2 linked regions of the Drosophila melanogaster genome follow. The protein of the gene in region 1 interacts with the protein of each later gene in a pairwise test. Each region holds a gene or a part of one and is shown in the gene's direction. Other genes may lie near its edges.

What was found. Proteins that work in one complex are often made in the same cells at the same time.
Region 2: the proteins of CG31122 (region 1) and CG10918 interact in a two-hybrid assay, tested with the Drosophila melanogaster proteins (one large-scale study listed by BioGRID).

The regions. Positions count from the first base shown.
Region 1 is NT_033777.3:18,403,273-18,412,981, reverse strand, and holds CG31122 (uncharacterized protein), read left to right. Parts: upstream 1-3,121; 5' UTR 3,122-3,164; coding exon 3,165-3,484; intron 3,485-3,545; coding exon 3,546-3,650; intron 3,651-3,711; coding exon 3,712-4,363; intron 4,364-4,541; coding exon 4,542-4,707; intron 4,708-4,765; coding exon 4,766-5,100; coding exon of another isoform or gene 5,101-5,517; 3' UTR 5,518-6,918; downstream 6,919-9,709. Other genes in the region: CG10864 (uncharacterized protein), read left to right, coding at 1,612-2,781; CG7685 (uncharacterized protein), read right to left, coding at 7,175-7,493, 7,557-7,762, 7,823-7,939; koko (kokopelli), read right to left, coding at 8,537-9,088, 9,149-9,293, 9,360-9,442.
Region 2 is NC_004354.4:21,426,637-21,433,218, reverse strand, and holds CG10918 (uncharacterized protein), read left to right. Parts: upstream 1-3,962; 5' UTR 3,963-3,975; coding exon 3,976-4,527; 3' UTR 4,528-4,605; downstream 4,606-6,582. Other genes in the region: DIP-beta (Dpr-interacting protein beta), read left to right, coding at 1,066-1,258, 1,493-1,621, 6,516-6,582.

The DNA.
Region 1 (9,709 bases):
AATAGATAAGGTGTTGGTTATGCGCTCCCCACCATATAGCCGCAACTATCGACAGATACAAAACACCGATAGTGCCATCGATAGTTCTGGCTGCTCTAGTCGCGAAAACACAGACGCAAGATAAAAGAAAAACAGACGAAGAGGGAATACGGGAAATACGCGGGAAGAGCAGCCAGAACGCCAAAATTTTCACGCGCAACGATTAACGAGAATAAACAGCGTAAGTAGCGGAAAAGTGCAGGTGAATTGCAACGGTAATTGCAGAGTGCAATGCGCCGGAAAATTTTGCATAAACTTTTTGTGAAATTTCAACTGTGTTTGTGTGAGTGTGCAGCAGCAGCAGCGAGTTAGCGTGCGTGTGTGTCTGTGTGTGTGAATGCGAGTGCGCTGGTGTTGAAAAAATCTATCTCTTCGCTACGCATTTTCACCCCCCGTTTTTGCGTATTTGATCTTTCTTCCTCTTCTTCTCTATCAGCACAGCCGCCTATGCGTGCGTGCGTGTATGAGTCTGTGTGTGTGAGTGCGTTCTCTGCTTTCGTTTTTTAATTCTTTGTTTATATTTACGTATAGTTTGTTTGGGGGGCCCCGTTTTATTGTTGTTACCCGATGGCGGATGCTCTTTCCCGTTTTGATTTATCGCCGCGCCGTAAAAATAGCGCCCAATTCTGATTCCGTTTTCAATTCCGAGATTCCCAAAAGCTCTCGCGCCGTCTGCTCCACCACACACACCCGTCGTCAATCAAAGTGCCGAAATTTTATGACCAACACTACCAGGCTGTATCTTTCGGATTTGCTTAATTGCAGGAAATTGTCAGGGGAATATGTGTATCAGCACTTTTATTCCAAGCAGATAACTTTGCAGAATTAGTTTTGCCAAGATAAAATCGGTTAAATCTTGATTTAGGACCATACGAATAGCTACATTAAATAGTTTTCTCCAATTCAATACTCTCTGTACTGTACTCACTGTACTAAAATGATAAAAACCTAATGATTACTCATTAGTTATTATGACATCCTAACATATCAATAGTTATTTCAATGAAATTTCTACAAAATCGTTATCAATTAATTGAAGTACTATATGATAATAAGATGCTTAATCGTAACTATTTTTCAGTACAGATTATTGTATATTGTTGCATATTGCACCTGTACCACAGTGATGTCTTAATTGCCCCGTCCATAAATTTGACGTAAATGGCCTGATTTAGAACCGCGGGCACTTGCTGGCATAAATATCTGAGCCGCAATATTTGTTTTCCATAGATTCATTCGGCTTTCCACTGGCTTTTCCGCTCGTTTGCTCTCCGAGTCTTGGTAGATTTTCCCTCGAAACAGATTTCCACCAGTTGAATTTTGGCGCCCGCGCTGATCGGTTGTGCAGTCGGGAAAATCTCACGTTTGATCTTGTGGAAAATGTGCCGTGCAAAGGCGTGGGTCTATTTTTAGACAACTTGCTGATTTCCACACTCGCCGCCGTGCTCTAAATCAGATTGAGAATCGATAACTGTCCAATTAATTGCACATCGTCGGGCTCAAAGGCCATTCGACCAGAAGGGAGATATCCGGAATCTGTGGAATCGGTTATATAATCCATGTGCGACTAAAATGGCCAGCAAATTTCAGAGGAAACCATCTCCCGGCGGAACTGTAGGCATGGGAGGGGGGCCATCGAGTGTTTCCTCTACGCCGAGCAACCAGCCGAGGAAAAGGGTGAAACGCTGCTGCCGCAACTTCGTCACCTTTATGTGCACCCAGGTGGGCGTGGGCGCTCTGATCGTGATCTATGCCATCTGTGGAGCATTCGCCTTCATGCACATCGAGCGCCAGTTTGTGGACGAGACGGCTGGCCATGTGATGGAGCTGCGTCAGAACTGCTCCCAGCAGCTGTGGAGCATCACGGAGCAGCACAACATAATCGATCGTCGACGCTGGACGGAGGCCACGAACGATGTACTGAGGGAGTACCAGTCGCAAATAGCCGGAGTTGTCAAACACGGCTATGTGGGCAGAAGTCCAGAGCAGATCTGGAGCTTTCCGGCTGCCCTAATGTTCTGCCTGTCGGTGATAACCATGATTGGCTACGGCAACATGGTGCCACGAACTCCGTGGGGCAAGGGATTCACCGTGATCTATGCCACCTTTGGCATACCGCTCTACATCCTGTACTTCCTCAACATGGGCAGAGTGCTGGCCAGATCGTTTAAGTTCCTCTACCGATCACTGCACGACTGCACCCAGGAGCACCCGCGCCTGGATCGAATGGACGCCCTTGAGGGTGGTGTTGGCATGACACGCAAAAAGGTCATTGTGCCGTCGACCGCTTGCCTGTGGGTCATTTTCTTTTACGTTCTCACCGGCACCGTGATGTTTGCCAATTGGGAGAAGTGGAGCTTACTGAACAGCTTTTACTTCTGCATGACCTCGCTGTGCAAGATTGGATTTGGCGACTTTGTGCCCGGTGCCTCGCTGACTACCAGTGCGGATGTGAATGCAGCGACGCAAAAGTTGCAGGAGGACATTTCAGCCGATCCTGCCGAGCTGGCCCAGCTACAGTCCGTGGCCGCCGATCAGCACTCCAAATTGGCCATCAATTTTGTCTACATGCTGCTGGGCATGGGTCTGGTGGCCATGTGTCGCAACCTGATGCGCGAAGAGGTGCGCCTAAAGGCACGCGAGATGCGCGAGGACGCCAAACTTTGCATGGAGGACACCAGGCTGCGATTCGTTGGCTGTTGCGGGAATCCTAGGGACGCGTACGAGGATGATTACTACTAGGATAAGAAGAGGTTGTTAGGAGGGGTTTCAAACAAGGACGTCCCTTATTTAGATTTATATTTCATCACTAATCCGAAATGGTTCTATTCTGATGGAACTAAAGAAAAAGCAAGTGTATTATAAGAAGATCGTATTTAGCTTTAGGGTTATAGTTCTGTAACAGAAGTGGTCTATATCATCAGTTATTCTATTCAGAACTTTCGAAAGTATATTGATTTGTGAAAGTTTTCAAAAAAGAGCGTTTGTGTGTGAAGCTGTGAAAATGATGCTGTGATTGGTTAATGCCCACCAAGTAAAGTAATCCCCCATGAACCGATTCGATCCCGCAGCTCACCATTGATCAATTCCTGCAACTGCAAGAGCGGATCCGTAACTTCGAGGGCATGCTTGGCGGCGGCAGCGGGGAGCGTCTGTGCACGCCAAGCACTTCGGCCGGCCCATTCCGCATCTTTTCCGTGGCCGGATTCCAGAACCGGGCCAATGACATCGTCTACTGCCCGCCGATCGTGCGCCAGCACTCGGTGCACGTGCCGGAGGACTCCACGGCCATAATCTATTTTGGTGGGGACGTGCAGGACTTCCCGGAGAGCATGGAGACGAACCGTGACAGTCGGGGCTACATGAAGTACAACCTCGAAAACTCGGCCATCCTTCTGCGCGAGGCCTTTCCCCGGTCACACATCATCGTCATCCGGCCCGTGCGGTTAGTTTTTGCATATTTTAATAATAATTTATAAATAATATAAACGCATTTTCATTTGCAGCATGGAGTTCAAGACATTCAGTTGCTTTGACAATTTTGTTCGGGGCAACAACGCTGGAGTTCCGGATCACACGCCCATGAACCATGCCCTCCAGCATCTAGAAAAGTAAGTTCATAGTGTACAATTCAAGAATGCTCTTATTAATAACAATTGTTTATCCCCACAGACTGCTTCAGAATCTATCGCAGCGCCTGATCTCCATACCAGAGAACGAAATTCTGGATCAGGCCGCCCAGGCAGCGGCTGCTGCGGCGGCAGTGGCTGCTGCTGCTGCGGCCGCAGCTTTAACGCTATCCAACGCCACGGTCACCTCGGAGTCCAACTCACAATCGGCACCGGCCAACGACAGCAGCCAGGAGATGGACATTGATATATTGCAGGTGCAGGAGAATATCACAGTGGACGCGGATGGGGCAGTAATATTTCCGATAGTTGGCAACGAAGTGCCAGAGGCAGTGAACAATGTATCCGGGAATAATGGCAACATCGGTGGTGGCGGTAACGATGATAGTGTAAACAACCACCAAGAGCAAGTGAACAACCAGCAGCTCCAGCAGCAGCAGCAAACGGCGGCAGCCATCAAGATGACTTCTCCCACAACGGCGATAAATGCCACCAACAATGTGGAGCACTACAACAACGATTGTGGTACGAGGCAGGCTTCCGCTGCCTCTGCAACAACAGCCTCGGCAACGGGCACCTCCACATCAACGGCAAGCAGCGATAGCAATCCGCTGTGGTGGCGGGAGAACCTCAATCTGGACAAATCCAAGCTGGTGCTGATTGGCTTTAGCAAGGGCTGCGTCGTGCTCAATCAAGTGAGTCGCGTTTGGTTCGTTACCTAGTTGATCCACTCGCCAATACGCCAGCTTCAATCCTATGCAGAAGTGTCGATGGAGCGTGTAGAGTATAAATCTAAACGCTGAATCGGTATCTGAGGATTGTGGCCCATACCCAACTGACCATACTTATCTGCACTTTCTTTTTTGTTTATAGTTCATCTACGAGTTCCACTATCTTAAGACGCTCACGCCCGACGACAGCAGCATGTGCCGCCTTCTCTCCCGGATTTCAGACATGTACTGGCTGGATGGCGGCCATGGGGGCCAAAAGAACACTTGGATCACGTCCCGTAGCTTGCTGGAAACACTAACGCGGATGGGTAAGTGGAGAGAGAGTAAATGCCAAGTTGAGTCAACTAACGAGTGGGAGTCTTTAAGCAGGCATGAACATCCATGTCCACCTGACGCCCTACCAGGTGCAGGATGATCGCCGACCCTGGATTAGAAAGGAGGAGAAGTTGTTTACGGAGATGCTACGTAGGCTGAATGCGCCGATCACCCGGCACTTGCACTACGACAACCAGCCAGCGAATCTGATGACCCACTTCGAGGTGCTGCAGGCATTTTGCCAGCACGTCCACGCGCTCAACCAGCAGCAACAGCAAATGCAGCAGCAGCAGGGTGTCGGCATCAGTGAGCAGTCTTCGGCGGCGGTGGCCGCCACCAACAATGGGAGCAACAATCTATTGGAAGCCGGCGAGGAGGCAAAGTGACAGCTGCAACTGCATCCGCATCACCACAGGCGTCGCTTGCATGCGATGCGCAAGGGTACCGCCGCCCTCAAGCGTCAGCAGGTGGCGCAGCTGCGCCAGCACCACCAGCAGCTGCTGGCTGCCGCCCCGGAGCTCGCGCTGGCCTCCTCATCGCGCCTGGCTGCGGCCCTGATCTCGTCGGCGGTGGCTCTGAGCGCCTCGTCCGCGAGCCTTGTAAATAGTCATCACCACAGCCATATGCAACAACAGCAGACGCAGCAGCCGCCACAGGCGCGCCATCATCACCATCCGGCAACATCACACAGGCATCACCACCACCAACACCACTCACATCACCACTCGCACCACCATCATCATCATCATCAGTGTCGCTCGAAACGCAAACTGCAGAAATTGTATTATACGCTTTGCCGTTAGATCTGTAGCCTAACTATATCTATGTGTACTTGTACGAGAGAAAGTTTCTTAGAACCACCAGCAGCATCAGCACTTAGCTTAAGTGGAGTCACACCTACCACGTCCTATATATATTATATGTATGTCCAGTCCCTTCGTCCCTTCATTTTTTGTACATGTATTTATTTATTCCCCTTTTTGTTCGTATTTTGTATCTTTGATCATCGCATTTTTGTAATTCGTCCCAAACTGAAAGCAAAATCTCATCAGTGCAATAATATACATAATCCGAATATATATATATCTATATATTTATATATATGCGTATTTATATATATGCTGATTTTACAGACCTCTCTTATTTTATACAAACACTCCATGCTATTTATTTGTAATTGATGAAAAGATTTGTGATTTGCGCACATGATATAAAGTAAACATCGTAGAGCAAGCACTGTAATCGTAGCGTGTCTCAAGCAATTTATGTTTTAAGTACCCCAATGAATTTATACATCATCCGCACAGACGCATTAATCTAACCAGCCTAAAATCTAAATCACACACACCCACAAAGCCCTCTGATTAAGTATTACTTAGCGTACGTAAGCTAACTTTAAGTTGCAACTGGCAAAAAGCAAGCCACAACAACAAATGTACTTTACTTAGGTTGATCCCCAGTTTCCATCGCAAACTGGGGGCAAAGTATCAAATTTGTGAGACGAGAGCGTCGATAGCAATATAGCAATCAGCTCGTCCAGGCATAGACGACGTAGTTTTCTCTGATTGTGCTGGGCAAGTCAAAGAAGAAGTACTCAATGCAAATGCAAGTGAATAAAGTGAATTTTGCCAATTCAGATCCGAGAAGTAATTGTAAATGCGATGGCGCGCGTTCCTTAAACTAATTATGTATATCGATGTGGAGATCATTACCGCTTCCGCTTATCATCCAAAACAAGACAAGAAAGCCAGCCAAGAAAGCAAACCAAGAGAAAATCCAGTGAGACGTACTGTGCATATAAGGGAAAAATTAATTACACACAAAATTTCGTACCTTGTAGAATTTGCAGTTCAAAATTGCTTTAGAGTTTGTCGATGTACATTTTACGGATTAAACTGCACAAAACATTTTTAGGCAAGAAGAACCATATTAACTAAAATTACAGACGGTCGTAGATGTAAATTGAACATTATAAATGAAAACGCTGCGAATTCGAAACCAAAAATCGCGCAGAGAAAGTCGAGCAAAAAAAAGAAAACAAAACAAAAAAGGAATTCCCAATGTAAATTCTACTGATTTTTGTGAGTCTGGTAATAAAATGAATAAGCATATATGGATAAAATGGCAGCTTCTTTTTTTCACATGTCCACAAAGATCTAATCTTGCAGCTGCTCCTCTGGCACCAAATTAAACATAGTTTTAAACAAATTGTACACATTAAATCCATCAGATTCTTTGAATGTGAAAACTGGAACAGGCCACATTGTGTTTCTTGGAATTCGTTTCTTTTATTCAATCTACTTATTTTAAAATAAATTACAATTCTATTGTACTCGTACAAAAAATATCGCTTGTGATGCGCCGCCCGACATCTTCATCCTTGAGATTGGTGTCCTAGGTGCACAGGTGGAGGAGATGGAAGAGGAATGGGAGTGGGAACGGGGTCCCGTCGGCCTGCGACTACGCACAGTCGTTGGGACACTTGGTCGCCGTGCTCCACTCATCGCTGCCGTCGCAGCAGTCGCACACGTGGTCATTAATGCGGCTGCTGGCCACGTAGATATCCAGGCCCCGGCCCGTGATGTGACGCTTCTGGTAGCGACAGTAGAATCGCCCCTTGGCGCAGGCATTCGTGCTGGGCTCGTCGCTGCCGTCCTCCTCACAGTCGCAGTAGTTGTCGTTCAGGTGGTCGAACGGGATCTCTTTGGAGCCGTCCAGACACCGGAACTTGCCCTCGAAGTTGGGCTTGTAGGCGTCGTAGTCGAAGAGCCGTGTGCCCCTAAAGGATAAAGACGAGGATGAGGAATTTTCCCAAGCCAGCAACAATGCATCTACTACACACCTGACAATCTTGATGGGATCCTCGTGACCCGCAACAGGTGAGGTTTCCCCGCCTGCCGGAGCAACTGCATCGGCGCCTCCGCCATCGAAATCGTCCACGTCGCGCTGTTTGCTGCCCAGGGACTGCATCATCTGCTGGTGCTTGCGCTTGATCTGCTGCAGATTCCACGGAGCAGGCACTCCGGGCAGCTGGTTCAGCGAGAAGGCCTATCGTTATTGTTTACACATTAAACACCGTGCACAGGAAAATCCTTGCGAGACTCTCACCTGATACGCGATGAACGAAATTCCGACCAGGAAGATCAGCAGCAGGAACATCTTCGACTTCTGCTTGTAGAAGGGCTTGAAGTATATATTCTCTCGCTTCACCCACGTCTTACGCATATTGTCCTTGTTTTTTCGCTCTGGCCAAGTAATGTATAAAAAATATGTTTTGTTTACGAACTAGCATTGTTTTTGTACATGCCTGCGTTAGTCAACACTGCTGGGCTGGGGCTAAGGGTTGCCACCCATCCCGGAATTTAATCAAATACAGAGCGATTTATTTAAATTTGTTTGATAAAGTGTAATATTTTTTTGTAAAACTTTTAACAGCTTAAAAGTATAATGAATTTGATTGAAATAAAAGCGCCAAACACCTTTTTGCTTTTCCTCAGAATCTTAAAGCATTTCACAACTCCAAAGACCCATTAACAATATCATTTTTCACAGAACAATTGTTTATTGAATCAGTGTATAAATAAGTTGTAAACTTTAGATCTATCGTCTTCGCTGATAGGTAAATGTACTTTCGCCCGTCGATCACATAAGCATTTCATTACCGGTCAATTTATTTGTTTTGGCAAGGGCATGATGTAAATGCATTGGACATTTGAGCATATGTACGTCTAGTAGTATCTGAGATTGGTTTATGAGGTGGCGAGGGGAAAATAAATAAGTTCAGATGGCAGAAGGAATGGTTTTGGCAGTCTCTCTCAGCGATTAGGTGGCATTCAGGAAGCCCTCGTTCTTGTAGACCTCGATCACGTTCTCGATGATCTCCCACTGGTTCTCTCGGGTGAAGTCCTTGACCAAGGGCTTGTACCACATGGCGGATTCGTCGGACTCGTCGGTTAGCGGCACCTGGATGCCGTAGGTCTGGAGGGCCAGCGACAGGCACCCAATGGCCACATGGGTGGGCTTGTACTTGAGGATATTGGCGCTGTGGTGAAAGTCTTGCAGATACGAGGCGGCTGCCTTGGCAATGGGCACCGAGTTCCACACCTCAGTGCCCACCCAGTCTTGTAGGGTCTTCATGTAGTGGAGTAAGTACTTGTGGGCCAGATCTATGTTGAGATCGAAGCACAGGGTGCGCGTGATGAGCAGCTCAGCCTGGACAATGGCATCCCGCATCGACCAGTACTCATCGTTCAGGTCGACTGGATCATTGCCCCGGTTAAGGGTGCAGTATGCCACGTTGATGACATCGCGTATCTTGACACTTTCGTCTTCCTTAATTTTGCCAGCCAAGTACAGCGAGCCCGCGGCAATGAGCTGTGGATTCCAGAAAGTTTCTCATGAGATGGGGTCGTTTTGGGGGCATATATTACTCACGAACTCATCGTAGTCGCTGGCCTTGACCTCGCGGAAGAAGCGATGGAACACTATGGCCGCACAGGCCGCCGTCAGCGGTTTCATTTTCAACTTGGCAGCGCACTCAAAGATGTACATCGGCACCACGCCGGGTTTGTTCATTTTGCTGCGGCACAGATGGCACAGATATGTATATATTGGTGGTATCTTTAGATTGGATCATTCAACTTACCGATAGTCGATGGGCTTCATGGTCTGCGCCTTGTTCAACTCCACGTGCTGCTGCATCGACATGACATCCAAAACGTTTTTCATGCTGCTACTCCCAGGCCGAACTGAATGAAAGGATGAATGTGGGTGGATTTAAGCAATTTCGTTAACACTCGAGGAGCAAGATAAAAGCAATTGGACTGGTTGGGGAAATGGATGTGAACTGAGACCACCGAAAAGTCGAAAGGCGACAAACCGGTTTGATTGGGCTGCAGCGCTGTAATGGGAGATATGGTATCATATGCAGGGCGATCGGGAAAACTAACGGGCCCGAAGGTATGTCAGCTGTTCGATTGGAATCCAATACAACGG
Region 2 (6,582 bases), on another chromosome or scaffold:
GTGTGTGTGTTTGCGGGGGGTCCTCTGGAATTTTGCGGGGGAATTTTCCTATGTGTGCGCGTCGTTTTCATCTGACGTTTGGTGTTACTCGAGTCGAGGCAAGTCGAGTCGAGTTGAATAGAGTTTTTTTTTTTTGTGCAGCACCATCCCGCCATTAAGCGACATGTGGAAAACGATTGCGTTTTCAATTTCATTTCATTTATGCTGCAAAGATGGCGATGAGGGAAACGTGGGTGGGTGGCGGTACCACCCAATCCCGGCCGCCACTTCCCACTTCCCACTCCCCGTCTCCCCCTTTGTAATAAAATCAACCTAACAAAGCGAATTGAGTGAAAAGCAAATATGAGACAAATAAAACGCAAACAGGCTTGACATTTCTCCAGCTTTCTCGCATGCCGTCCTGCTTTCCAGCATTTTTTACCCACTGCCGCCGTATAAATTTCGCGCTTGGCTCGTTTGGGGTTTTCCCTTTTTTGCTGCCAGCCAGCCTCTCCTTTTTCCCAGTGACGTCAACTTTATTTTATGACACAACTGTCAACTGACAACGACAATGATAGCAGCAATTCGGTTATTGTTGCTAGCAGCCAGCAACCGCAGAATGAAACAAATGTTAAAAAAGGCAAAAAAGGGGAAAAAAAAACATTGGGCATGGGACATTGCGCTCTATAATGAGACGGCTATTTGCCGTTGAGTGCAGCTAAAATGTTGACTAATACTTATTAAAAGGGCTAACATTAGTGGCACCTTCAATTGCATGAAGCGTTGAACATTGATTCAAATGTACATATTTTAAACTCGATTAAAAAAACAAATTATATCGAAAAATTGGGGCAAGAAATTATTTAAAAAAACAGCTTAGTAAATACTGATTCGAAATCATTAAGTTCTGTATTAAAGGAAAAAACTTTAAAGTCTTTTAAAAGAACTAATATATATATATATATATATATATACCTTGCTGTATGGCTGTATGGTTCACTGGGCGTATGCGTAATATATATAACAGGTCGAATAAGCGAACCTTATGGCGAATTTAATGTGTATCCGAAATGTTTTCGCTTGCAGACGGCCACCTTGGAAGTGGTCATCCCACCGGACATTATAAACGAAGAGACCTCCGGGGACATGATGGTCCCAGAGGGCGGATCCGCCAAGCTCGTTTGCCGAGCACGTGGTCATCCGAAGCCGAAGATCACGTGGCGACGCGAAGATGGCAGGGAGATTATTGCCCGCAACGGCTCACACCAGAAAACAAAAGGTAAGTGCAATGCATCCTACTCACGGACTTGCAAAACTGAATTATTGCATTTAAAAATAAAAAATTTGTATGCTTCCTGCCTGATTAACAATACAAATATTTAAAGCCAACTGCAGACGAACCGAACTACACATTTACACAATAATTTAAACATATGGAGCCCATTTTAAAGCAACCACCACATATTGTTATGTACTCACCCCTATACCACAATACTCATTTCCTCACCCACAGCACAATCGGTGGAGGGCGAAATGCTGACGCTGTCGAAGATCACGCGATCGGAAATGGGCGCCTACATGTGCATTGCCTCCAACGGAGTGCCACCGACGGTGAGCAAGCGGATGAAGCTACAGGTGCACTGTGAGTACCACTACAGTATATAACTATCCATATATGATACATGATAAATGGGTAGCGCCACCTGCAGCCGTTGGCCAAGAAAATGGACTGATTTATGGCAGTCGAAGGCAGCTAATGCCGCATAATAATCATAATGGTAACATATAGCCCCGTTCGGATGTGCTGTGCTGTGCTTGTTCCAGAAGGGGGCTGTTCCGTATCGGAGTCGTATGTATGTGGCAGAACTATAACCGGAAGCGGAAGAGGAACAGGAACAGGAACAGAACCGCAGCAATAACGCAGCGGCGGCAACTGCAAGTGTTTCCGTTTCGATATCCGGCAGCTTCCTTCACGTGGCCGACAAACTTTCCAAATGCATTAGGGCGCCAAACTTGTGGATGTTGGGTCAAAGGGCATTTTTCCCTACGAATATGGGGAAAGGGGAACGGGAAATATGGAAAACGGGTGGGGGGGTGGCGGGTGTGAAGTGTTTCTTGGGGTAACGCAACGTCACGTTTCTGCAGTAAAACTTTAAAGTTGTGTGAGTTGGCGAGTTTGTGTGTCATGTGAAGTGGTAATTGTTAAGGTTCTGCAGTTCTGCACTATCCCTCTGTCTGCCCACATAAAAAAACCCCCTTTAAGACCTCTTAAAAAACCCCCCCTGTAACTGTTTTACCTTCCCGCATCAAAGTTAATGAAATTTCCAAAAGGGGCAAAAGTTCAAACGACGACAATTGGGCAAGCGCAAAAGCAAGAGGAATTGGGAGAACGCAGAAAAAAAGGCGGAAAAAGGGGAAAAGTACGGGAAAATGAAGGAAAGCCGTAGGGGAAAGCAGAAGAGGGACAGCGAAGAATACCTAGAACCACCAGCTTCTCTGAAAACCCAAAAGATTGTATCCGAAAATTATATTGACACGGTCGTGAATATGTGGCGTCAGTTTCTTCAGCCACACACACACATATGTACTTACTTTTGACGCAAAAATTAATTTTCATTTATATTTTTTTTTTTTTTATCTAAGCCGCAAATTTCTTTTTCTTTTTCTTTGTCATTTCATTTTCATTTTACTCCAAACGAAGTCACCCACCTTCCGGTCCTCGAAATTTCAATTTAAAAATCCCCATATGTGCGGAAAGCGGGAAACGCCATTCTATATTCGCGATTCTTAAACGCCACCCACTCCCGCCGCCCAACTAGGTGTCCTTGTCTCAGCCGCACATTTCACTCGACGCCCTGATTGATTCTAATCAGAAAATTAAGTGGCTCCTCGAGGTCGTTTGCCATGTATTAGCACTAATGTTAAAGATTTCTCTTCCTCGACATCCGCAACTCTCGAATTGGGAAAGTCAGAAAAGCTGTTCAGAGCTTTACTTTTCAGGAACTTAATCCACATTCACTCTAAGATGTTCGATCTTCTATACATATTTTTTTATTAATATAAGAAATATATGTTTATTACTTGGCAGTTGATATAGATAGATTTTAGACATAAATAAATGGCGCAAATGAAGGCTAAGCATGTGTATTTACAAATCAATTGACTTATTTCTGCGAATAAGTGTTACCAATTGAAAGGCCTTAAAAACTAATGAATTTACATAGTTCCTAACTTTTAATAAAGCATGAGAAAATTCAACTTTCGATGCTGGAGTATAAAACAATGCTATAGTCGAGTAAACCGACTAACAGATACCCGTTGCATACGCTTCTACGACTCTAGTATACCCCTTTACTCAGCAAGTAACAGGTATAAATATGTAAATGAAAAAATGAACAAAAAATATAATTTTTCCGACTGAGTCATAGATTTTAAGAGAACTTTTAAACGAGTGCTATTAGAATAAGTAACCCAGTTGTTGACAACAAATAAACAAAGTAAATAAACAAAAATTTGCAGTAGGGTTATAAACCTTCAAATAGACATTCATTTTCTTCTAAGCAAATTTACAATTCGTCTTAGTATTTGGCTAACGTTATGATTGTTTTTTGTTTCATTGTGAGGATACTGCGTAAATTTCTGTAAACTTCCCTCTCTGACACAGCACTTTTTTTTAAACTCAAACGGTTGTATTAAAATAGAAGAATAGAACAATGGAACTAATTCAAACATCGACCAGCTGTTGCCACACGACGAATGAAACAAGAGAAACACACGGATTATTAGATGCGAAGAATTCGAGCTCAGCTCTTCAGGGAGTTCTTCGCTCTATTTTCCATTCTTCGGAGTATCCAGCTAAGCACACAGCCAATGCTGCCGTCACGGGGGATTCTTAGCAAAAAGGCTGATGGATGAATTCGACACCGAATTTTTGGGTATAAAAGGGGCTACACGTACATAACTCAAATCAGTTGCTATTGGAGCAAAAGTCCCACAATGCGTGCCTACATTGCAATTACCCTGCTGGCCCTGGTGGCAGTTGTCGTGGCCCAAGGGGGAGGCGGAAGACGTGGTGGACGCGGTGGCGGCGGAGGCGGTGGCCGAAGTCTTGGAGGATTCGGAGGACGTGGAGGCGGTGGCTTCGGCGGTCGCGGTGGTCCTGGTGGTACTGGTGGCCCCGGTGGCTTCGGCGGACCTGGTCGCTTTGGAGGGCCTGGAGGACTTGGCGGTGGTGGAGGATTCGGAGGTCCCGGCCGCTTTGGCGGTCCCGGAAGCTTCAATGGTGGATTCGGCGGTCCTGGCGGTTGGGGCCCACGTCCACGTCCTCGTCGCCCAAGACCTTGGTGGACGACAACGGAGAGTTCCTTGGCCGACACCAGCAGCACAACTAGCAGCTCCTCCAGCTCCACCGACAGCAGCTCCTCTGCCAGCTCCACTGATAGCTCCACCGATAGCTCCACCGATAGCTCCACCGATAGCTCTACCGATAGCTCCACCGATAGCTCCACTGATAGCAGCTCCACGGAGAGCACTACTGGTTCGGGATAGATTCTGAGTCTCAATTGCAGCGTATTGAAAACTTTCTGGGAAATGTATGAAAATAAAATCTAATTGGCACATTGAAACTTAATTTCATTAACTTGGAATATATTAGTCATATACAGTCATATTAGTCTTACAGACTAGCCGAATCTATTCAGCAATGTCCGTTCGTATTAAGACCTTTGATTCGCACCAAAAAATATCTCGATTAGCATATGAGATTGAAAGCTGTCTCTTAAGAGAATTATCGTTTCTGTTATTTCTTCGATATCGACAGGCAAATCAATCATCTGATTAATGAAATATCATCATTTGTTATCATAAAGTAAACAGCATGAAGGCTAGTTATTTTGATAATTTAATTTTGGCAGCTGCCTGCCGAATAGCTCTATTAGGGCAAATTGAATTTTCAATAAGTGGTAGGCTAAGCGAGAATTGGACATAATAGGAAACACCCGACACCGCTGAGAACACCACATGACATATGCTGCACCATTTCGAGTCCAAAGGGGTGGTGCAACGAACGGGGGCACGGGCACAAACGTGCGGGGAACCTAGTAGGAGTAGGGACCGAAAATCCGGACGCCATATAGAAGAGGGCTGAGAGTGCGGAATGTCCAAATCCAATAAATTGACCAATAATGAACGCTCGAATGCAGCTCGAGGCGAGAGCGCTGTGCAGTGGGTGAACGTGGGAGCAAAGTTGAAAAGCCAAAAAACAATGATGGTCAGTGGCTCTGGCCTGCGGTACTTTGGTCCTTCGCTTTTCCGTCTGCGCTCCCTGGGGCGGCTTCAAGACAACGTCAAAGGCAAGGGCGAGGGGCCAGAAGCTCGAAAAAAAAGACACGAAAAGAACGCAAAAAATCAACTTGCAAAAAATTCCGAAAAGAACAAAAAAAAAAAAAAAAACAAACTCAACACGACACGGACAACATGGAAAAGCTCCAAAGGGCAAGCCCAATGAATTAATGGCACGTCCTTGGCGAACTAAAAATGCTCTATTCGAAGCAAAGCAAGTGTAAAACAATTAATTCGTCGCTTTAAAGGCCTTGAAACCCTTTTCTTACAAAATTACACCCTGCTGTTTCCCAAACACAAGTGCTATATATTCTCTCAATATCTAACTTTAAGCTTTAGATCCCGAAAACTTATGATTTTGAATAGATAGATTGAGCTCTTCTATTGCGTAATAGTTTCTCAATATCTAACTTTAAGCTTTAGATCCCGAAAACTTATGATTTTGAATAGATAGATTGAGCTCTTCTATTGCGTAATAGTTTCTGAATAAAAATCTTACAAATCGCTGAAGCAAATACAAGAGTTTAAACGAAAGATGCTTTAGTGGAGGAATCATTAAACCGTTCTGGGGTCATCACTCCTTCGACAAGAAAAGCCAATTCCCAGCCCAGCCGGATAAGTGACTGTATTCCTAGTAGGGAGTGGAAAATAGGAAAATCCGAAAAGAAACTAGCAATATGGCTTGCTCGTTTTATTTGCCACTGACTGACCACTGGGCGAAAACGATGGATGATGCTGCTGCTGCGCTGCTGCTGCTGCAGGCTCGTGGTCCTGCTGCTGGTCCTGATTGCTGGCCAGGATTGCTGACTTCCACTCTAACAACAAAATAATTCATTTTCAATTAAAATCGTATCAGTTGTTGTTGGCGTTGCTGCCATTAACCGACAGCGAAAAAAAAAAATAAAAATCACAGCTGGAATCGGGAATCCGGAGTCAGACAAAGGGTTTGAAGTTTGACTTTGCTCCCTGGTGGCGGCCAGCTTAATTGCCGCTCTAGTCCGCGGGGGCAACGTTGTGGGTTACGAGTTGAGGGTTTAGGGCGGAGGACAAGCAGAGATTCAGCGGGTTTACGGGGAGGCGGGTGGGCCAGGTCACAAGGCCACTGATGGCTTATTAATTGGCACTGCCACCGGGCGCGGGTTCATTCACCATCCACACTGACTCCCAACCCATTTGCTCCGTCTTCTCCTCCGCAGTTCATCCGCTGGTGCAAGTGCCAAATCAATTGGTCGGCGCCCCGGTCCTTACGGATGTCACATTAAT